Daphnia pulex: one gene and its partners. The protein of the gene in region 1 binds, or shares a complex with, the protein of each later gene. Links are inferred from orthologs where the notes say so. Each region holds a gene or a part of one and is shown on either strand. Other genes may lie near its edges. The genes, in order: U6 snRNA-associated Sm-like protein LSm4, U6 snRNA-associated Sm-like protein LSm8, U4/U6 small nuclear ribonucleoprotein Prp4-like, U6 snRNA-associated Sm-like protein LSm7, probable small nuclear ribonucleoprotein G, U5 small nuclear ribonucleoprotein 40 kDa protein-like and thioredoxin-like protein 4A.

Region 1 (3,683 bases):
GGCGAATTTACTATTGCAAACGTCTGACAAATAATTAAGAACTAAATCGTAATTACGAGCTAATTGTATTTTACGTTCGAATGCAACTGAGCGAGAAAATGGAAGATGTATTATGGTGTCGCTCTAAAATTAGTGGTATGGCTTTTGCTTTTGTACTGAATTTGGTGAGCATTCAAGTTCAAAGTATCTATAACGCAGAAAGTATCTATAACAAACGAAAAACTTTCATGCTTCAAAATATGTATACACATTTGACATTTATTAAGCGCGCCGAACTTTCTGCAAAAACAAAACATTTGTTTTCATTCGTTATTAAAAATGGGCATCTGAATCTTCTGTGCTAACAACGATTTTCGCTGTCGCTTTGCCAGTTGGCAACGAACGATCCGACACATCCACTCTTACTACGCCGCACCTACTGACTTATGAAATATGCAGCAAAACAGCTGAAGGTGCAGCGTGTTATTACAAGTCCACAAGGGCTTCTTCTCTTCTAAATATTTCAGTTTCTTGGTGTATTTCAGCCTAAAGGTTTTATGGGCTTATTTTAAGCATGTAAAATTAATGTGAAGAGAAAGAATGAGATAAGTGCTTCCATCTTTTTATCAAAACAGAAAGCGTCTCGAATAAATCAAGACTTGGCCATATTTTTATTTTCATACATTCATTCTGACAAGTTTATTTACTTTCCACGGGGTTTATTATTGCCACCACCACCACCACCACCTCGTCCCGACGGCGCGCCTCGACCTCTTGAAGCACCAAAAGAACCTGATGGTCAACACAAGAATAATTTTATATCATATCAATAGGAATATGCATGCTCCATATTATACGTCAACGAAGCCTATATGTTTTAAAATAAAAATATTAAATAATAAAATTAAAATAATCCCATCGATTCAATCAATCATTAACTATTAATTTGAGTTTGACGCACATTCGTGTAGCTGCGATAAGCTAACGCTTAGTAAAAGGAAATAATGTAAGTTATAATAATGTACACGACTGAGAAACATTACCTAGGTAGTACTATACTTCATTAAACTGTAAACTTTTTTTGGAAGGTTAAAATAAAATATAAAAAAACGTGAAAAGATTAAATAATTAATTTTATAAATTCCTATTTTTAATTAATATTAAAATTAATTTATTATCAGTATTCAAGTAAGAGACGCGGCATGTACCTCTTGAAATAATAATCAATAAAAAACAAATTATAAACCTCTACATAGTAGATAGATTTCATTTTTAAACCATAAGAGCAGGCATTCCTGAATGTGCAGATAGGATGTTTAGCTATTCATTCGTCAAATGACACGAAACGACGTAATTTAAAAATAAAGCTACGATATACTGAACATGATTCTAGAATAATGAGATTAACAAGAAGTCAAACATACATTAGTTATTGTACAATCATTTGAGCATTAAGTGATTGTACTATATTTATCCCATTGGACCATTATCAGAAAATTTTGTATAATACTGTTATAACTTGGTACTTGTTCAATAATATTCATGACTAAAACAATATTAAGACTACGAATAAAATTGTTTTGTATACCCCATTAACTTAATTGATAATGAGTGAGAAAATTTTGGCATTTAAAACATACCTCTACTACCACCTCTGCCTCCTCTTTGGGCTCCACCTCTTCCTTTACCATCACTGCGACCACGACCTTTTGCAACTACTTCTTCCTTAACCATATCAATGACTTCATCTGGAATTCGAAGATATTTGATGGTACTGCCTCTAATGTAACACTCAGGCATTCTCCAAAATCTGTCACCATCCTAAAGAAATTGTATTTTTGTTCATTAAATATTATATGTAAAACCTTATGATCGTATTCAAGAATATCACTGACAGATACAGATGACGGAACTATCTTAAATGAAAGTACTTTACCTTGGAGGTGCAAATTACTTCTCGTAGATTGATGTTCATCCAGTTATCACAACTCACCAAGTGGCCATTGTAAGTCTCCCCATTTTTCAATTCCACTAACTGTAAATATTGAAACACTAGTTTTATTGCTGTAAATAACAAAAGTAAAAAATGCTTACCATGGGATGATTCTGGGCTGTACGTAGTAGCGACAAAGGTAACTAGATAAATAAATAATTAAATTAATCTTCGATGATTCGGTATGAAGCACAAAACTCAATAGTTACCATAATTGATTTAATATTATTGTTCTCGATATGTTCCAATTAATAATTAAGAAAAAGGTTTCTCCTAGGTTTTAAGTGGTTGGAAAATGGAAATCAAAGATCAAAGATTTATGAAGCAGAAACACCATCTATCGTGCGATCGGCCAATCCTTTACACCGCGCCACAGCGGGTGTGTTGGGAAATGTTATAAAATAGGCGGCTGTGTTCGGAACGGTTCCGAATGGACAAGATCAATCAGGACCAATAATCCATTAACGTATAAACCCGTAAAAACGTAACGTAAAATAAACCATTAACACTGCGCTGATCCTGAACGTTATTCGCGATACATCAGTAACACGTATTGTATTGACTATTGACGCAGCCGAATAGATCTTATTGCAATTCAAAAGTACGCGACATAGCCAAAAGTCGTGCGAAGCTTACGCCAATGCGTACCACTGTGGCGTATAGCCGAACTAGAAATTATTTTATGCTTGACTAATCCTATACTCCCTCCTATACGACAGAGGATAATTATAGAACTTGAATTAACCTTAATTAATTTAATCTAGTTACCAATTGATCTCATCTGGACGTGGAGCAAAATCAACGGACCAACGGTGAGGCTTAAAGATAACAATCAGGCTCGAGCTTTCTGGGATTGATCCACATCGCCAATTGGGCCTATGATCTTGGCTTACCCTCGCTGCTTGAATGTTTGAGGCGAAGGTTATAAAAGCTATTCCAACTGGTCGTTTGATAGCCTAAATGAATGGCAAAGTAGTGGTTACTAGATCACTATTCACTACGACATTAAATTATTTTAAAAAATATACCTTCAGTTTTTCTTGATCAATAAGTGACGCAAGTTGCCTTTCTTCGCTCGTGTAATATATACCCCCTATACGACGGAATTTCCGTCGTATAGGAGGGAGTATGGCAGGGAAATCATCTTTATTGCTCTGAGGTGTGTAAAATAATGTACTCTAGACCTAGATCAAGTATTGGTGGCACCAATGGTGAGAAACGGAAACGTACACTTAGTGTACAGAACAATAGCCAGAATTCTCTGACCGACATGTCGAGAGAAGACATGATAATATACTAATAAAGGATTTAAAAGAGGAAAGAGAGACGCTCATTCAAGAGAAAGAGTGCATTATCAGTCATACTAAAGAGATAGAAAGTGAGCTAACCAGCATCAAGGTTAAAATTGCAAATAGGTTCTTGAATGGGTTATTCGGTGATGGGCAGCCGACTAAGGAGAATGAGCCACCTAGTGGAATGGACTCGCAGCTAGGTAAATCCTATGCGGCAGTGGCCTCGAAGTCGGTCACCATCATTGCTAAGCTAGATCCGGATGTGGACACGAGCAATTTTATCGGTGATGCTATGGATGAGTTCTTTAAAAGTAATTCGGAGTATCTGACGCTGCAGTCTTTCACTAAGAGAGACAATATAGCTCGGTTTAAGTTTAATAACGACGCTGATGCCAAAAAGGCTAAACAGTTAATGGAAG
Region 2 (2,284 bases), on another chromosome or scaffold:
CTGGGCCTGAAAAAGAGCTTTAGTATCTATCAGCAAATTAAGATTGTCAACTACGTCAGGAGACAAGTGCATGAAAAGAAATGCATACTTTGCGATGAGCAGTTTGAATCCCGGGATAAACTGAGAGAGCACATGCAAAACTTCAGTCACTTTAAACTTCCCGATCGGGCAGTTTGGGATCAGTCACAGTAAGCCGGATACATTCAAAATTTTCTATTTGTGGATCCTATTTTATTGGATAAACTTTTAGGTACTACTTTCCAACCTATGAAAATGATGCTCTTCTTTGTTTGCTAGAAGATACCATTCCAGATGATTCTACTGAAACCGACCAAGTAAATTATATTAAGTCTGATTTTTATTAATGTAAAAACTTGTTTTCATGATTTTTCATTTAATTAGGTAACAGTGATCCCTGAAGACACCATCATAAACCTTAAAGTAGTTGAAGAAGAACTGCTTAAACTAGAGCTAATTGTAAAAAAATGAATGATTCTACAAAGCTGTAAAAAAGATTGTATTTCAAGTGATCATGATGGAATAATGCAAACTTTAATGGTGGATTTGAGCTAGTGGTTCTGCTCTTATTTCTGATAAATTGAGTCTGGAATCAAGTTCATTATCAATTTCCCCAATTAAAACTCTGAAATTACAACAAGAAATAGTTATGATTGAGTTATTTTACAGCTAATAAGTGGATGAAACATACACATTGTCTCCTCTGATGATGTGCAGTCCCAGTTGGACTTGTTCAACTCCCTGGGTAGAACTAAACACTCTCTCATGACTGTCGTCAATGATAAGGTTGATAGTCTGATCGAATCCTTTAAGAATACCCTGTAAAAAGAATACATTGAAATTATTTCAAACGGTTTATTGAGTGAGGATGATGCCTTGTGATCGGGCGTTACAACTTACAATAAAATTCCTCCCATCACTCGTGATAACACATACGGAACCTGCGAACAAGAAAGATACAATTTTTCAGTGAATAATAAACAATATAATAATTAAAACTCACGATTAACGTAAGAATCTAACGTTGATGCCATGATTTCTTCACTCGCTTCACTTTGTATTTGGCTTGTAAAAATCGTCTGCAATACAGCGTTGCCGTTTATTTTACTTTAATATCAACAAAGTATTTTCATTCATTCTATTCAGATTTAATTCATACAAACTGTAGTAAACTTATGTTTCAGTGATTAATGATTTCGATAGAGTAATATAATTTTTGTTTATGTATGGAAATTGGTTATTTGAAAAAGACTAAAGAAATCGAGAAGGGGTGCCTGAGGCTATTTTCCCGAGACGTTAATCAAATGGTTGGTGAGGAGAAGAACTCAGCAGGCTAGAGTTTTGATGAATCGTTTTCTTTGGCCATCAAATAAATTTGAAAATCAGATAGGCCCTACATTTCCATTATGCGGTATAATTCTTTATTTGGTCGGTTTTGAGGTATTAACATTAAACGAAATAATATATTAGCGTGACTAACCCCAGCCCAATTTTGTTAAATCTATTTATTTTAAATATACATGTCCATTAAATAAAGTACCGTCTGTCATTTTTAATGACATCATTTTTTACATTTGATTGCAATCAAAACGAAATATGGCATGTCACGTACACACACGCAAACGTCGTCTGCTCTTTGCAGAAAATTGCCGATTTGAAATATTTTGATGTCCGACTTTTAATGGTTGAATATTTTAGCATCGAGATATGGTGCTTTATCTGGTCAATATTCGTGCAGTTTTGAAGCGCGCAATTCCTTTAAGTGCTACTTGTTCCCATTCAAGAAGCACATGCTCAACTCCCGCAGAGACCCGCGGGATCTCTCCAAATTTAGAATTCTCTCCCGACTGCGATGAAGCGACGAGGCAAATGCTTGAGAAAGACTTTCAAGTCTACAAAGATTTCATCAGTGCTGAAGAAGAGAATAACCTATTGGAAGAGTTGGAGGTGAAGTTCAAAAGGTCCCGGTATCAGTATGACCATTGGGATGATGTAAGTCTGAAATTTCGTGTTCACGTAGGTTGTCTGACTGTTGAATGACCACCATTTGTTATTCGAAACCCAAAAGGCTATCCACGGATACAGGGAAACAGAGAAACCTACTTGGAATCAAGTCAATGACTGTGTTATAAATCGGTTGAGAGCTTTTGCCTTTTCAACTACCACGATGCAGCATGTCCATGTGCTTGATTTAGCTGAGAATGGTCACATCAAACCACATCTGGACAGCATAAAGGTATGATAGATGACAGCGTTTGGAAATTAT
Region 3 (3,873 bases), on another chromosome or scaffold:
AAATCAGACATGACACATTGATACGTTATAATGTAGAAATGTCGAACAAAAGTTTTCAAGAAAGTTCTTGCTTTGGAATTAGATTGAAAAGAAACGGCGTCCGAATTTTGTTTGGGTCCGTGCCGGCAGAACCCAATTTTACCCAGTTATGGAATCCATGGAGCAAGGCAATTCCCTGGTTAACGTTTTTATCGCATCCACTACTTTCAAGTAAAAAGATTGCAATTCTGTTAATCATTATTCGATGGATGTTAACTCTTATTTTTACCTATGAATTTTAGCTGAACACACGACTCCTGCTATATTCGACGTTAAAGATTTTACAGTCAACCTACAGCGAACTTTGCAAAACGAGTACCAGGGTTTAGTTGAATACAAGCCAATTATAATGAATTCGTATTTAGGGCTTCCAGCATTAGTACACAACTACAGTCAATTCGGATTTTACAAAGTACGAGGGAAAGTAAGTTTTTAATACTCCACCCAATCTTCCCAACCAATAGGCTTCAACTTTTTTGTATTTAATTTATTAATGTTTTCGAAGTCCAATACACAAATAAAGAAATCAAACAAGCATGGTCGTCTTCGAAGCTGCACTCTATACTTCTACATTTATTCAGGGGACCAAAGCTTGTAAGTGCGATCGTACGAGGCTGTGGCGATGAACGACCCGTCAGGCGATACATCAACTGCCATAACCTGTAACAATAAAATAAAAAAATTGAGAAACACATCACAAACGTATCTGATTAAAAAATTTACTTTTCCGTCATGTCCCGAAAGGGTTTTCAATGGTTGCCAAGTGTTACTCGCCCATATCTAGGGCAGAAAATTATTTCAAATATATATAGATGACAAATGTAACATTTAAAGAATGCAGAAAGAAAATCTATTAATGATTATTCATACCTTTGCGGTACAGTCATATGAAGATGAGACAATATACTGTCCGGAACTTCTTTCGAATTTCACGCTCGACACTAAATTTGTGTGTGCAGGAATAGTATAGATACAGGATCTCTTACGTAAATCCCATATTTTACAGGTATTGTCTTCACTTCCAGTTACTATGTGGTAGCCATTAGGTGATATATCGATGCCCAAGACACCTTTTAAATGACCTTCCATAAACATGATGCAGCGCCCAGTTCTGAGGTCCCATACTCGACCAAAAGAGTCCATGCCACTAGAAAAAATTCCACATGTAATTAAAATATTATGTTAACATATTTTTAGGTGTTGGTACCCTGTGATAGCCACTGAACCATCAACATTGAATGCTATGTTGTATACAGGTTTGGAATGCCCTTCTTGATGAAGAACTTCTACACCCTGTTCTAGATCCCATAGCCTCCAGGAATTATCAAAAACACATGTAGCTAAAAATCTTCCAGAAGGATGAAATTCAACTTTTGACACTCGATGCGGAGCATGTCCTTCCATATCAGCAATCGGCTCTTCACTTTCTAAATTCCACAATTTGACTGCGCCGTCCATGGAACATGAAGCCATATTTAATTCTGAAGGTTCTAAGCTCAAGGTGGCTTGTGGATGGAAGACTATTGCTCCAACACTACACTTGTGGCCTCTCAATGAATGAGACAAAGTGCAGTCAGGTACATTCCACAATTTACACAGGCCACTCCTAAAACATGAATTGTTTTTTATTATCTGATTAACTCTCTTACAATCTCAGAATATTTAATACCAGGAGGCAGTGGCCAACAAATTTCCACTTGGGCTGAATTGGCAATATGATATTGGTCTTCCATCACCAACTTGGCTGCACATGATGTTCATACCTCTCATCCGTTTCACCATTTCCTGCCTGGAAAAGAAAAAATATATTAATTGGGATGTGCTTTCATAACAGAGCATATTTCAGACCTTTTGGCTGTTCTTGTTGATTCTGGTATTTCAGATTCAAGTTTCACATTAGATAACCTTTGTTTTGCTCTGGGGAGGGAATAATATGCTAACCACAAACGAGCAATTTTGAGTGATTCAGGACCTTCATGATACCAAGTGGTTTCAGTTTGATCTTTCTCAACCTTCACAATTTCTTTTTCATCTTCTTTTTTTCTATCGATCAAATCATGTCCATGAACCGAGAGTAACTCTTTTAATCTATTTCGGCGATCAGCAGGTCCTTCACCAAAAAGGGTTATTGGTTCACCTAATTGCCTAAGATGTTTCCGAATTTCCCCATCGTCAATTGTGATAGCGAAACCGGTTGTGGACGACATGTTTAAAGAAATGTGTTTTCTAATTGAACTTTTCCTGTTTTGATCTCAATGTTTAAATATTATAGACACCGACACCTCGTTTTGTCACGTTTTTGTTGTCAATACGATCGTTCTTAAATCTTAAATAGACTTTTACAAGCCAGACGACTCCCAAACGAAAAGCGACTTACGGTATGAAAAAATCATGTGCAGCATACAGAGCCACTGGTGGAAAACTGGAAAACTATGTTCCATGTACTCATTCTTCGGATAATAAACTGCCGCTCGCAAAAGAAATTTTAAATTATGATGTGTGATTTATTACACTACCTAATATACAAAACAGCCAGTCTGAATAATACCTGAATACTGAATCTTCGGTTTATATTACCAATTTGTGATTTCGATTAGAAAAAAATTATTCGCACTCATAGTGCAGCACATGCCCATCTGGGATTTTTTTCCAAAAATGATTTTGTTGCAACCTATAAAATTGAGGTTCAGCTCAGCATACAGTTGTTAATAGCATAAAATGCCTGATATGCGATCGATTACACATGCAGCAGACTGTGTAACAGACTGTGTAACAGGCCAATTTGGTGTACGGAAACATTAGGGAGTATACTAGGCCTAGTATAGGGACATAACCAAAAATGATGTTTGAAATATCAGATTGTCAGTTCAAAATTTGGTTATCCATTTTATGCATCTAATTTTAGAAAACTGTATAATAACTACAAAGAATTGTTCTTAATAAAGATCTGTATGAGAGGGAAAGGAATAAAGGATGTATTCTATTAACGCTTTAGATACAGAAATTTTATATTCTTAGTATTTCGTAGGATTTCCGGATATAATTATACATGCTTAAACACGGCATTATTTATTGGAATTTGGCAATTTGCAAAGAGACACAAGACACCACACAGACTAAGATTTGAAAACCTGTCGGATCCTTCCGCCCTTGCCGCTATTGAGTGTGTGGGCCGGTCTTTAGCTCCGGGCGTCATCTAGTTGGAGCTTGGTTAGTCAAAAGCACTGGCATAGGAAAACTGATCGCTTGACCGGCCTTCAATAATACAAGGCAGACACACTCAAACAAGCATTTTATATTTTGGAAGTTTGCAAATTTCAGGTGGAAACTATTTGGTTACTTTCAGCATGGCTGCTGGACCTGTTTCAGAAAGAAATCAAGGTAAGAAATTTAAGTTTATTATGCACTAAAATGAAATGACTATGTGAAATTTTTATCATTTTCAGATGCTACCATTTATGTTGGTGGGTTAGACGAAAAAGTTACGGAGCCCTTGCTGTGGGAGTTGTTCGTTCAAGGTGGTCCTGTAGTAAATGTGCATATGCCTAAAGATCGGATTACTTTACTGCATCAAGGATACGGATTCATAGAATTCCTCAGTGAAGATGATGCTGACTACGCATGTAAAATTATGAACATGATAAAGCTGTATGGTAAACCCATTCGGGTAAACAAAGCATCAGCACACCAGAAAAACTTAGATGTTGGAGCAAATATTTTCATTGGAAACTTAGATCCTGAAGTTGATGAAAAACTTTTGGTAACCAATCAGCATTCCTTTAGGTTCAAAACACAATTTAATCTATTATTGCTTTTTTAGTATGACACATTTTC
Region 4 (2,770 bases), on another chromosome or scaffold:
ACCCTCGATTCTCACCTGCCATGTATCAGTCGGTGAGTTAACAATTCTTGATTTAAAAAATTTATGCATTTAACTATATTATCGATTTGATGGGGTCATAGGTCTGCTTGTGCGAGAATGTGATCCTTATGATCCTGTGGATGGAAAGTTTGAGCAAAGGCGATGATTGGGATATAATAAGGCTTTACTGGATCATTCAGTTTGTGACGACTCTTACCAGTTTCGCATTGTTTTGGTGGGTTAAAGAAATCAACAAAATGCTGCGGGAACGCGACACTAGCCCAACTCAAACAGAAAACCAGCCGACATCAGAAACAGCCTTAACCTTATCGCCATAAATTGTTGATTTTCTAACATGGCCATAACCTTATTTGCTCCTGTTTAATTGTCACGTTAAGAGTGATCTTGACTTTAATACAGAATCACACCTCTATCTGCCACCTCTGCTGTAACTTGTAAGCTGACAGTATGAAAGTCTCTATCTAATGACATGTAACATTTTTCTCTTACAGTTTTTAACCTTAAGGAATGGTAGATCATTTGATTGACACTTACCCCAAGACAAAGTGATTGGCTGGACTCAATTGGATTCCATTATTCAAAAGTGGCAGCTGGCAGGATCAGACTCAACGATACAGCAGAGCAGGCTACTATCCAGGATCAGTTCAATTTTAACCTGAAGAAAAAAGATTTCCCATTTAAAAAACTCGTTTACTGTTCGGTGTAGATAGACAGAAAATTTGAAATATCAAAAGAATCGTTCTTTTCAGATTGTCAGGCCGCGACGACTAAGATGAGTGGAGGGAATCGTGATAGGAATCTATCAAATATCGTATTGTTCTTTTTGTTGTTGGCATTCAATAAATTGACCAGCTCCTCATGAACACCAATACAGTGTCGGAATAGTATCAAGTAATCTGATTTCGTCTTATAGAATTCAAATCAAGCAGAGTTACATCGAAACTTGACTCATCATATTGCCTGCAAATGTGGGACCGTTGCCAGTCCATCTCCGGTCCAAACTGATGAGGCTTTCAATAAATCCACAGTAAAAAAAAACGCCATCTAAAATATTCAATGAATGGAAAAATAATTATAAAGAAAAGATTTGAAAAAAAGAGTGGTTAAAATATTCATTGAAATCAATATTTGGCACCGGTGCTGCGCTATTCCGATTTTGATTTTTACAACATTGCAGACGACTCTATTGTTTTCTGTACACCAAACCCAAACGGCAAAAATGGCAGCCGTAAGTATTTAATTTACTAAATGAATTAGTGGTCTATAATCCCAAGACATGAAATGACAAGCACTGAATATATTTAAGCTATGAATAATGTCTGAAAAACATTGATCTGCCTGTCGTAAATTGGGTACAATTAATAGCAATGCGTCACGTCACTCATGGCTTTTATTGGCTACTGCTTTAGAATTACATCATTCTGGGTTTTGCTAATAACGTTATTCATTTCCTTTCTTTTTAGCAAAAGGTCGATAAATCCACACCGGCAACAGGTAGCCCAGCAGATTTAAAGGAGAAGAAGAAGGAAAGAATCTTGGACTTGTCCCGTTACATGGACAAGTTGATCAGAGTCAAGTTTACCGGAGGCAGAGAGGCAGCTGGTATACTTAAAGGTTACGATCCTCTACTCAACATTGTCCTGGACAACACGGTAGAATATCTAAGAGGTAAGACTTGAGAACTACCACAAATTGTATGTGAAACAAGATTGACTTAAAATTCCTGTTATGTCTTGTATTTCTAGATTCGGAAGATTCATTCAAGTTGTCAGAAGACACCAGACAGTTGGGCTTGGTGGTTTGTCGTGGAACAGCTGTTGTTCTCATCTGCCCTGCTGACGGTATGGAAGCCATTGCCAACCCTTTCATTCAACCAGAATAATTGATTTTTTTTTTCTAAATTGAACCAATGATCATTTGTCTGTGTGTTGTTTCCCAATTTTCCAATAATAAAAGAACGAGAAAAAGGTGAAATAGTATAATAATATTATTAAAATCCTTCAAAAAAACGGATAGGTAAAAGAACACGGATCGACAATGATAATAATACGATGATTTGAATAAATGATTCAATTTTTATGCAATTATATAGCAGTAATGCAAAACAGAATTATATTTTTAGAAGGCGATTAGAAAAGAGCCTACGAAGGTCGAATTCATATTTATGTACTTTTAAGTGTAGGAAAATTGGAGAGGCACCGTCTCATCTTTCTGTGTGAATGTCACAACATTCGGCCGTCAAACGAACTGGACAACGTGAAATGAATCGAGAGGAAAATTCTAAAGGCAATGATAATAACTGATGTTCAAATCTCAATCGGTGACAAAAGAGTCGGAATCGAATTCAGCTTCGACGGCCCGACTTCCAGTCGAACGGAGTGTGGAGCCGGAAATGACGGGCGAAGGAACAATTTCCCACTCGCCGAATGACAAGGCAGAATCGTTTTGTTGCTGGACGAACGGGTGGAAGCTGCTCAGCGTCACCTGACTTCCAGGTTGGCCTGAATAAGAAATCAAAATTAAGAAAAAACAAACAAACAATTGAAAGTGAGTCGACAGCGGTTGATACCCGGTGAATGGTCGCTCATGGTGACGAAACGTTGACTTGGCGACGAAGAAATGTCCGCCTCGCCATTGTTACTCAAGTCGTGCTGCAACTGGCACTGGTGCAATTTGTCCAGCTGCGATTCTAGACTGAGAATGTCGTTGACCAAGGCGCAGTGATGGAAATAGACGGGCGGATGTCCAC
Region 5 (2,416 bases), about 6.0 Mb from region 1:
GAACCGACCAGGCATCTATTGCTCTGCCCAGACCTAGTCACTCTCATGTTAATTTTTCGTCTATCAGAATATAGGCCCCACCCTTGTGTATCGTCTGGAGAGCATAGATGGCGTTCAACAATTCCGAGCTCAACAACTATCTAACCTTCTGGCAGTGGCGCTGAATTATGTTATTTATATATACCACATAATATAAATAAGGTAATAATATTACATGCACAATCTCTCATCGTGATTGACGTGATCAAGCTTAATTTGTTTAATTAGCGTCAATAAATGAAATCTTTCATTACCGAAAAATTGTTTTAGAATTCTCATTATTTTTTTACTATTAATTTTAATTTAACATTAATTTCCAGCCATTATATTTCTTCTAATGGTGTTTTATTTGCAACACTCCTTAATTTTCAGTTTATTTGTAACCTTTTCATTCTTAATTCCTCTCAACCCAATGCTAAGATGGCTAAGAAAAGAGTAATAAAGTGGAATGTTTTAAATAATTTACAATTTGGATGACATTTATTTTTCAGCAGTTAGGCTACATGATTCTTTCCAGTGCTTCCAACATTATAATTGAGTTTCCACGAACAACCTAAATTTACATATAAATAGTTAATGGTATTTGAATTTATGTATGCCATGTTAATTTTAAACATACCACCATCCCTATGTTATTTTTCGAACCATCTTTAACTTCTTCAACGGTTTCATCAATGACCAAGTTCATGAATGGATCAAAACCTCTCAAGATCCCAACAATGTTCCTACCACCATTCAGTTTCACTGTGAAAAACAATTCTTCAAAACAGTTTTCAATAATAATTTAACAAAAAAATAATACTTACAAGACATTCTTTTATCCATGTACCTGTACAAAAGAAGTAGAGATCATTATTAAAAATGTAAATATAACTTAAGCAACAATACATACTTCTTCAACTCTGGTGGATGGGCCTTGCTCATTTTGGTTTGAAATAACTAATATCTAATATCTACGTTGATGAATATATCACTAACTTCAAGCAACTAGGAAAAAACGTGATACACCAAGAAAGTTTGGATCGTTTTTAATGTCCGATGCGCGATGCCAAACGTTAGGAACGCGTGTTTGCCAGATATTGAATTTAGAAACTGGCGGCTTTGCGAGACCGGCGACGAGACCTGGCGGCTGGGCGCTGGCGCGCTAAGGAATTTTTTATACAGCTTGTGGCTTTTTTGCCTTATTAAAACAGGAAAAAAATTACGATCTTCAATTAATTGTATAAATTAGCAGCTACAATTCTGTAAGAAAATATTTTTTAGCAGTTTATTTCTATAGCAAAATGACTACCAATTACCTCAACTGGAATGGAAACTACACCAATATACTTTGAGCAAAAAAAAATAAACTGTGGAAGTTACTTTAATTAAATGTGTTTTTCTGTTGTTTTTTTCATTTTCTAGTTGATCTAAGAAACTTGTACTGAGATATTTGCACTCGTCCACAGTAATTCAGTGATTGACTCAAATTTACAGGCCCTTGTTGTAATAAACAACAGTTGGGGGATTCGGGGATTTTCGAATCTTTGCCTGAATTAAAAAAGAAAAGATGTATGTTAAAACAAGAACCACATTAAAACGCTATAAAAAATTACCTGTAGCTCTGGTTCCAGACTGTCAACCGAAATCGATGCTTTTTGAGGAAACAGGGCACAACACATTGGAGTAGCGAAAGTAAGTAATACGCCACCTGTAAGCCAAATAATAATACATAATTGGCCGTTTACAACTACATGATAAATAGTTAATGTTTCATACATAAAGTAACTTGAATAGGTGCCGCAGACCAAGGGAATCGCTTCAAGAAGCCCTTTCGATCCAAATAATTCATCAGCAGAGGTGGTAGGACTGCATATTATTGTGCTGGATGTTTTATTTTTATCAGATTACTATCGTATTACATGAATTACCCATTCCAGGAGAAGCCATTCCGATACGACTAAGGACAACTTGAGTGATACCCCATTTGGCAGCAATCGAAGATTCACCGAGTACATTTCCGTTCTCATCAGAAACTGAGATTCCCTTTTGAATTTCACTAAAAAATCAGTCGTATTTTAAAGCATTAGTTATCTTATGCGACGAGAAAATGTTTATCTTACTGCATTCGCATCAGAGGAATATTTACACAGTTAGCGGCAGCAACAGCTGCAAAGGGTACCAAACGCCCAATAATAGGAGACATTGACTAAAAATTAATTTCTCATAAAGTTATTTACATTATGGTCCATTATATCAAGTTAATATTTTTGATACCTTGGTCAAGCTATTCAAACCAAGAGCAGTGACTAAAGCCCCACTTGTTGCCAGTGCATAAGATGTACCCAATTGTCTAAAAAATCAATAGATTATTATAACTTTCAGTGATTTATTTAAA
Region 6 (3,934 bases), on another chromosome or scaffold:
CGATTAATTTAAATGCAATTTTGTAAATATGCGTAAAAGAATTATTTGTTTATTCGTCCTCGATCCTTGCCATCGTTTCAACTGAAAAAAATTATAACCTTTCCTAATTAAGCGTCAATTTCGCCTAGGTAAATCAGCTTGTCACTGGCACCGGATGCAACTATGTTTCATTCAAAATAAAAAATCTGAAATTAATTGATGTCCTTGATGTTGATTTGCTGCGTAAATTACCAATAGGTTCCTTAGGATGAAATACAACGTCATTGACACTTCCGTTGTGACCAGGTAATTTGTAAATGATGCGGCGAGATGTAGTGTCCCAAATGTAAACGAATCGGTCGGCAGATCCCGCTGAAACTTTGGTTCCGTCAGGTGACCATGAGCAGCGAAGTAAATTCTATAACATTACACAAGGTATTAGAATGGATTGAGAAATTCGCCGGCATTGTATATACCTTTTCAAAGTTGTGAGCATGGCCAACCATCATTTTGATACAACGTTCTTGAGGAGCGAAAGGTCGTACATCCCAGACACGTAAAGAGTTGTCCATCGAGTTTGACAACACGTAAGATCCATCAGGACTGAGAGTCAAGCCGGTCACAGTGTCGGAATGGCCCTTCAAGGAGTAGAGGAGAGCATTTTTTCTCAAGTCCCAGACCTAAAAAGGAAAGTGTATGATTTACCTATCTCTCCATATTCACGTGAATAGCTCAAGGCCAGGACCAGTTGAAATATCGCAAATGCAAAACTACTTTTCAGGTTTTAAAATGAATATCTTCCAAAAAAAGGAGAAAACTTAACATGGGTTTAGTTCGAACGAAAAGATAATCGATAAAAAGTGAAAATTATCTATTTTTCAGAGTAAATTCTTCCTAAAGATGTCGCAAAATTGTCATAAGTATTACGGGGAAAAGTTTTGATCGATAATGTGCAACCATCTGACAAGCAAAGAAGTATCAGAATCCGCTTCCAGCGTTTCACATTTGCCTCAAACTGACAAAACACAAAAATGCGCATCTTCAGTAATTAGGATGGAATTAGGACATTTGACGAGACCCTACTGCTGAAATTACTTGAATTAATTTTAAAAACTTCGCCTACGAGCTTACATTAGTGAACCCATTCATATATCAAAGAGAAGGGGCCCTGGAAGTAAGGAAGGACTTGGTGACCTTATCAAGGTGAGACACGCGATAATCAGAATACCAAAGTTGAAATCCCTTGCACTCTTCAAGGAAAATGAACTCGATGATAGGGTAAGACAGAACTTGCACGAATATGGTTCAATATTAAGTAGAAAACAATCAACAATGTCGAAACTTTAGTTTTTACAACAAAGACAGAATATGACTGCAGGTCCTTCCTTTTTTGCCAAACTATTCTCTTGAAGCCATCAAGTAAAAATACTGAGAACTTTAATCAATTCTGTAAGAAAAATACTCAAGTTTGTGACTTTCTCCCACTCACACGGAATATGAAGTTCGCCGAATCGGTGGCTTAATTCAAATTCTTGGAAATTGGTCCCATAGTTTTTCTTCTCTCTCTCTCTCTCTCTATTACAACAATTGAATTTTGCGAACTCACCTTAACATCGTTGTCGATGCCTGCGGAAATGACTTGTTCGGCGGTATCGTTGAAGGTGACGGAAGTCGCTTGGTAAGAATTATCTAATGATACTGTCTCGGTTCTTTTTCTTGGATCCCAGACTTTGATGTTGCAGTCATCTGAGGCGCTGCAGAGAAGAGGAGGTCCTCTTCGTGCAGGATGAATAGCATTGACAAAGGAGGAGTGGCCTGTTGAAACAAATTGTTGTTGGGTTCAATTGCTAAATAATGGGACAGTGACAATGGTATACCTTTCAGTTTCTTGATTTTAGCTCCTGTTCTGGTGTCCCACAAACAAATGGTTTTGTCTGTACTAGCAGTGTAAATGGTATCACCATCGGTAGACAGCTGAAGATCCATTACTGCTCCGGTGTGACCAGACAACACAGCAAAGTTTTCACACTCTCCATAAACATTCCACAAAACTGTTGAACAAGAGGTTGATTATCCAAACAGTAGAGATGCTCAAATGTATATATGATGCTTACATATTTGTCTGTCGAACCCGGTGGAAACCAAAAACTGGCCGTCAGGATGGAACTTCAGGCTAAAGATATCTCCAGGATGTCCTGCCAGGAGCATTATAGGAGCCATGAGGCTAGACGTTCTTGCTGGTCCCTGTTTATTGAAAAAGTCAATATCACATTTGAATTCATCATAGCATCTACAACAACAAAACACACAAGCTGGTCAGCATGTGGTTGGATGCAATTCTCTTTTGTGATGCATTCGGCTCATTTAAAAGTTTATAAATAAAACACAAATAAATCAAACCTGTTGCAGGGCCACTTGACCCGAGGTGGCCGACACCAATTCATTATTGCTGGGATTGTTTACTGACACAAGCGCCATTGCTCCGGCTTCTAGACTTTTAAGAAAATTTTCAAGTTGTAGAAAAAAAAAGTGAAAAAGTTTTGACAACTACTACTGACGGAGCAGAAGCCTTTTCTTGCTAGATCTATATTTTATAGTGGTCGCCTTTTCCAAATCTTGTTGGAAACTTGGAAAGACTTTGGTATAATAAAAGAATAAAAATTGAGATGGGGAAAAGCTGTCACAGTGGTATATCGCTCAAGAATTTCCGAACCCTTTTTCTCTTTCTTTTTTTGGGAAAAAGAAGTTGTAACTCGAGGAATTTCATGAACACCCGCGCAGTCTTGGAAAACAATGGGTATTATTGGGGCCGGAAAACAGGCGAACCCACGATCGTAAAAAAAGAAAAGGAGTGTTAGAAGAAGGAGGGAGAAACAACAAACATTAAATCTCTCCCCTCGATATTTTCTTAAGTTTTGTGTGTCCGTGTGACTATAGAACAGAGGACCTTCTAGTTTTTTAACACTCGCAAGAAAACGACTTCACCAGTATATGTGATAGTCGCTATGTCTGGGATTTCTTTTCCATTCCAACGAAATTTGGTGCGTCGGAAAGAACAAAACTAGTCTCTCGAGATGAAGATATTTTGAGCGCTGAATCCATGACCTAAATTGAGTCATTCATTTTTTCCCAACATGATGAGGAAATGATGAGATTGATTTTTGTTTTTCCTTTTCTTTCCCGTGTGTGTGGTTTACATTCGTCCGTATAATTTCCACGTCTATGTTGTTGGAGGAGAAAGTGGGGAGGAGCTGAAAACTGCCGCCAGATGGCAGAGTTTTTGGTACCCAATGGCGGCGGAGGGACACAAAGAAAAATCCAGTCCCTTCAGTTTAATGGCGGCTCTCGGCTGGTGTGTTTGATGATCTGGGCGTGAGTTGGGATCTTTTAATCCATTTCGGCCTTTGGTTACATCGAGAAGTGTCTCGAAATCACGCCAATTCCCGGCAACTCTTTTTGTTCTGTTGATATTTAACATTCCGTCCCCGAATCGACGAGTAAAACTCGGCCATCGTTTTGGCTTCACCAGTGAACTGTGTGGTTGAGTGCGCGCCTGTGAGAGAGAAGAAGTGTGAAAGAAAGAAAGAAAATGCCCAGCCTGACCTGAGAGCATCACCGTCTGTGTTTAGAAAATTAGAAAAACGGACAAAAGGCTGCAACTATCCTAATTTATTCGACCACGTTCTCCACTTTTGTATTGAAATAACACAAAAATCTTGGAAGAAAACTTTAGAAACGGATATCCGGCTCTTAAAATAAATAATACTGAAAAAATCTCTCTCTCCACCCTCTCACACACACGTAAGGCAGACTCTCAAACGCTCAGGAAATTCTCTCAAAAATGAATCCCAGAATACATATGGCGATTTTCATCGCCTTTTTGGCTGCACATTCGGTTAGCAGTAACATCAACAGTGCATCATCGGTTGCCAAGGTAAGAATGCCACCACTTTTT
Region 7 (2,549 bases), on another chromosome or scaffold:
GGTGCACACGGAGTTCAATAAGTACAAGTTCGTTGTTGGACGGCCACCGGCTGTAAACACCTGTTATCCTCTTCACTTTATGGTACTTTCATGGGGATCAGCACATTCATAAGTAAAAAGTTTTGATGTCTTCACTTAGGGGTATATGACACATTGTTCTAACCGAGCTATTGAAACGGTTACATTCATTTAATCTGACGGGGCGAAACAAGAAACAGGCAGGAAACAGACTGCCGCCATAGTGTCGAGCACCTAGTGGCTTAAGTTTAAACTAAATGGACATGTCACTCTATCTCGAGTTCTTTTTGGGAAGTATTCGTTACCTGCTAATAACTACGTACGGTATACGTAAAATATAAAATAATTGAAATAAATTTTCATGGTAAGTTAAATCACTGTTCGGAAACCTAACCGTAAGTAATATAATGTAATTGTTGTAACGATTGTTGTACGATGTGTTTACTTGATGGTCAATTTATGAGACAAACAATTTATGAAAATGGGGATTCAAAAGTGTCATCATTTATTAGTTTTTAATCCAGTGTCATTTAATTGAACAACACAGTTAATAGCGATATTTGGTAGAATAATCTTTCGGTGAAACAACCAAACCTCGACCTTTTCTGGCTCCACGATAGACTGTTTCCACAATGTCAATCATTTCTTGTTTATCTTCTATTGCCCAGTTGATTTTATTGTTGTTACCAGTGCCTAAATCTATCATAATGTGTTTGTTACGGAAGAAAAACATGTTTGTGCAAGGATCATACAACTCGTACCTATATAGAAAAACAGTGAAAATCATTATTGGGATTCATTCATACAATGTAAATATGAAATTACATCTTATTGAAGTCAGGAACTTGGGTGATATCCACTAAATAGATGACAGCAAAGTTCTTGACTTTCTCTGCAATTTGATAAAGCACTTCATCCATTTTCATGCAAGTTGGGTCCCAATCATGACCAAAACGAATAACCTGTAGTAAAGCATGTTTAAATTGATAGTAATATTAACTAGAGAAAGTTTGATTTACCACTAAACGGTCCTCTTCTGAAAGAATTGCTTGATCTACTTGCCAACCATTAACAAGATGCTGTAACATGTAAGACATATTGTTTGATTGATAAAGGTCGTGAAAAAAGAAAAAGCTGAACAGTGCTTAGAAATAGATCTCGCTTCACGTTTTCAAACCTTTCCTTTCAGAAACCCGAAAAAGGTAAATAATGCGTCTGTCAACTTCACGAGTAACACGACATCTGTGTGTGAAATTTTCATCCACTTTCTTTACAAATTCATTCCCAACTCCCAAGGAATATAAACATATTTAACAGTATAAAAATGTGTATAGTTAACTATAAAATATTTAAAGTTTTACTAATAAAACATTTTAAAAGTAAAATAAAATTTATTTCTAATAAGGGATTATTCTTAAGATCTGGCAAGTGGCAATACTTTCGAATTCCCCCCCTGGCCCCCTTCCTCTTATCATTTGTTTTCAATTTTTCGTTCAGACTTCATGGCACGGGGTCGCCTTCAGAAACCCGAAAAACCAGTTGTGCTTTTACGTAAAATCAAATCTCTTTTTACATAACCTGTTGAAAACCGACTATGCTTTCAATCTAAACGAATTAATAACTCAGCCATTCCTTCAAGATAGCCAATAGTCTCAACACCGGCCATGATCACAATAAGCATTGTTATTACCATCTTTATTTTGTTGAGCATGAGTTCCATTCTTGGTATTCTTGTGTTTGTTGTTGATACTAAGTGGATACCAAAGATTATAATTGATCTCTACTCTTATGGGAAAAGTTGTGAAGGTAAGGTATTTGGCAGTTCAATCAGAACTATCCTTATTCCGAAGAGGTATTAAAGTTACTACTGCTGATTCCTTTACAATTAAAATTAAAAATTTATTTTAATCTGCTAAATTAAGTTGGTTTACACACTTTTATGTGTTTGGAGTATTCTATACATTCCTGGTTCTCATAACAATGATGTGGAAGATTGTGTTGAAGAATCAATTATCTACGCTTGTAACCTCATACATTAGTTTTGTATCACCATACACTCACAATCCTTTAGGTAACTGAACAATTTTAACAAAATTTTATTCATTCTGTATTGTTAAAATATTGTCTATTTATAAAGCTAGCCCTGAGTTATCACTATTAGCTGCTGTACTTTTTTTCCTGCAAACATCCAGGAGGTTGTATGAATGTTTGTGTGTCACTGTTTTTGCTGATTCAAAAATGAACCTTGGCCATTATTTAGTTGGCTATCTACATTATTGGGGGTGTGCCACTGTCATACTTTCATACTCAGCTGACTATTCCAGTACAAATGGTAGGTGTTACCAACACAATATTTTCCCATTACATGATAATCTTTTCTTTAATTTATTGTTGAACAATCTAGATTTTGTATGGATACCAAATAGCAATGATATCCCTTTACAACCCATTTTTGGCATAATTTTGTTTACTCTTGCCTACTATCATCAATATATTGCACATGTATCCTTAGCAAATTTAAGGAAAGGTAA

Evidence for each region.
Region 2: U6 snRNA-associated Sm-like protein LSm4 (region 1) and U6 snRNA-associated Sm-like protein LSm8 share a complex: the UniProt entries of both Homo sapiens proteins name them as parts of the precatalytic spliceosome. The link is inferred for Daphnia pulex from reciprocal best matches to the Homo sapiens genes LSM4 and LSM8.
Region 3: U6 snRNA-associated Sm-like protein LSm4 (region 1) and U4/U6 small nuclear ribonucleoprotein Prp4-like share a complex: the UniProt entries of both Homo sapiens proteins name them as parts of the precatalytic spliceosome. The link is inferred for Daphnia pulex from reciprocal best matches to the Homo sapiens genes LSM4 and PRPF4.
Region 4: U6 snRNA-associated Sm-like protein LSm4 (region 1) and U6 snRNA-associated Sm-like protein LSm7 share a complex: the UniProt entries of both Homo sapiens proteins name them as parts of the precatalytic spliceosome. The link is inferred for Daphnia pulex from reciprocal best matches to the Homo sapiens genes LSM4 and LSM7.
Region 5: U6 snRNA-associated Sm-like protein LSm4 (region 1) and probable small nuclear ribonucleoprotein G share a complex: the UniProt entries of both Homo sapiens proteins name them as parts of the U4/U6-U5 tri-snRNP complex. The link is inferred for Daphnia pulex from reciprocal best matches to the Homo sapiens genes LSM4 and SNRPG.
Region 6: U6 snRNA-associated Sm-like protein LSm4 (region 1) and U5 small nuclear ribonucleoprotein 40 kDa protein-like share a complex: the UniProt entries of both Homo sapiens proteins name them as parts of the U4/U6-U5 tri-snRNP complex. The link is inferred for Daphnia pulex from reciprocal best matches to the Homo sapiens genes LSM4 and SNRNP40.
Region 7: U6 snRNA-associated Sm-like protein LSm4 (region 1) and thioredoxin-like protein 4A share a complex: the UniProt entries of both Homo sapiens proteins name them as parts of the precatalytic spliceosome. The link is inferred for Daphnia pulex from reciprocal best matches to the Homo sapiens genes LSM4 and TXNL4A.

The regions. Positions count from the first base shown.
Region 1 is NC_060026.1:5,482,078-5,485,760, forward strand, and holds U6 snRNA-associated Sm-like protein LSm4, read right to left. Parts: upstream 2,330-3,683; 5' UTR 2,185-2,329; coding exon 2,182-2,184; intron 2,116-2,181; coding exon 2,074-2,115; intron 2,015-2,073; coding exon 1,916-2,014; intron 1,801-1,915; coding exon 1,620-1,800; intron 772-1,619; coding exon 683-771; 3' UTR 501-682; downstream 1-500. UniProt on the Homo sapiens protein: Plays a role in pre-mRNA splicing as component of the U4/U6-U5 tri-snRNP complex that is involved in spliceosome assembly, and as component of the precatalytic spliceosome (spliceosome B complex).
Region 2 is NC_060019.1:331,325-333,608, reverse strand, and holds U6 snRNA-associated Sm-like protein LSm8, read right to left. Parts: upstream 1,132-2,284; 5' UTR 1,053-1,131; coding exon 1,022-1,052; intron 960-1,021; coding exon 919-959; intron 838-918; coding exon 710-837; exon of another isoform or gene 644-709; coding exon 553-643; 3' UTR 501-552; downstream 1-500. Other genes in the region: zinc finger protein 277-like, read left to right, coding at 1-188, 251-335, 403-489; alpha-ketoglutarate-dependent dioxygenase alkB homolog 7, mitochondrial-like, read left to right, coding at 1,726-2,010, 2,087-2,254. UniProt on the Homo sapiens protein: Plays a role in pre-mRNA splicing as component of the U4/U6-U5 tri-snRNP complex that is involved in spliceosome assembly, and as component of the precatalytic spliceosome (spliceosome B complex).
Region 3 is NC_060018.1:6,530,696-6,534,568, reverse strand, and holds U4/U6 small nuclear ribonucleoprotein Prp4-like, read right to left. Parts: upstream 2,387-3,873; 5' UTR 2,247-2,386; coding exon 1,888-2,246; intron 1,829-1,887; coding exon 1,709-1,828; intron 1,646-1,708; coding exon 1,247-1,645; intron 1,187-1,246; coding exon 910-1,186; intron 820-909; coding exon 763-819; intron 700-762; coding exon 613-699; 3' UTR 501-612; downstream 1-500. Other genes in the region: tumor protein p63-regulated gene 1-like protein, read left to right, coding at 83-210, 282-475; splicing factor 3B subunit 4-like, read left to right, coding at 3,387-3,420, 3,486-3,799, 3,860-3,873. UniProt on the Homo sapiens protein: Plays a role in pre-mRNA splicing as component of the U4/U6-U5 tri-snRNP complex that is involved in spliceosome assembly, and as component of the precatalytic spliceosome (spliceosome B complex).
Region 4 is NC_060025.1:134,869-137,638, reverse strand, and holds U6 snRNA-associated Sm-like protein LSm7, read left to right. Parts: upstream 1-1,150; 5' UTR 1,151-1,240; coding exon 1,241-1,249; intron 1,250-1,484; coding exon 1,485-1,689; intron 1,690-1,766; coding exon 1,767-1,903; 3' UTR 1,904-2,270; downstream 2,271-2,770. Other genes in the region: XK-related protein 7-like, read left to right, coding at 1-32, 102-338; myotubularin-related protein 10-B-like, read right to left, coding at 2,335-2,522, 2,591-2,770. UniProt on the Homo sapiens protein: Plays a role in pre-mRNA splicing as component of the U4/U6-U5 tri-snRNP complex that is involved in spliceosome assembly, and as component of the precatalytic spliceosome (spliceosome B complex).
Region 5 is NC_060026.1:11,525,926-11,528,341, forward strand, and holds probable small nuclear ribonucleoprotein G, read right to left. Parts: upstream 1,122-2,416; 5' UTR 964-1,121; coding exon 932-963; intron 869-931; coding exon 846-868; intron 784-845; coding exon 659-783; intron 593-658; coding exon 539-592; 3' UTR 501-538; downstream 1-500. Other genes in the region: sideroflexin-1-like, read right to left, coding at 1,510-1,569, 1,635-1,729, 1,798-1,887, 1,950-2,077, 2,142-2,227, 2,296-2,371. UniProt on the Homo sapiens protein: Plays a role in pre-mRNA splicing as a core component of the spliceosomal U1, U2, U4 and U5 small nuclear ribonucleoproteins (snRNPs), the building blocks of the spliceosome.
Region 6 is NC_060027.1:3,204,468-3,208,401, forward strand, and holds U5 small nuclear ribonucleoprotein 40 kDa protein-like, read right to left. Parts: upstream 2,801-3,934; 5' UTR 2,458-2,800; coding exon 2,380-2,457; intron 2,224-2,379; coding exon 2,094-2,223; intron 2,031-2,093; coding exon 1,857-2,030; intron 1,795-1,856; coding exon 1,586-1,794; intron 660-1,585; coding exon 456-659; intron 398-455; coding exon 232-397; intron 161-231; coding exon 108-160; 3' UTR 28-107; downstream 1-27. Other genes in the region: syndecan-like, read left to right, coding at 3,821-3,913. UniProt on the Homo sapiens protein: Required for pre-mRNA splicing as component of the activated spliceosome. Component of the U5 small nuclear ribonucleoprotein (snRNP) complex and the U4/U6-U5 tri-snRNP complex, building blocks of the spliceosome.
Region 7 is NC_060018.1:1,947,566-1,950,114, reverse strand, and holds thioredoxin-like protein 4A, read right to left. Parts: upstream 1,248-2,549; 5' UTR 1,116-1,247; coding exon 1,038-1,115; intron 981-1,037; coding exon 844-980; intron 780-843; coding exon 566-779; 3' UTR 501-565; downstream 1-500. Other genes in the region: polyprenol reductase-like, read left to right, coding at 1,683-1,870, 1,941-2,089, 2,156-2,350, 2,423-2,545. UniProt on the Homo sapiens protein: Plays a role in pre-mRNA splicing as component of the U5 snRNP and U4/U6-U5 tri-snRNP complexes that are involved in spliceosome assembly, and as component of the precatalytic spliceosome (spliceosome B complex).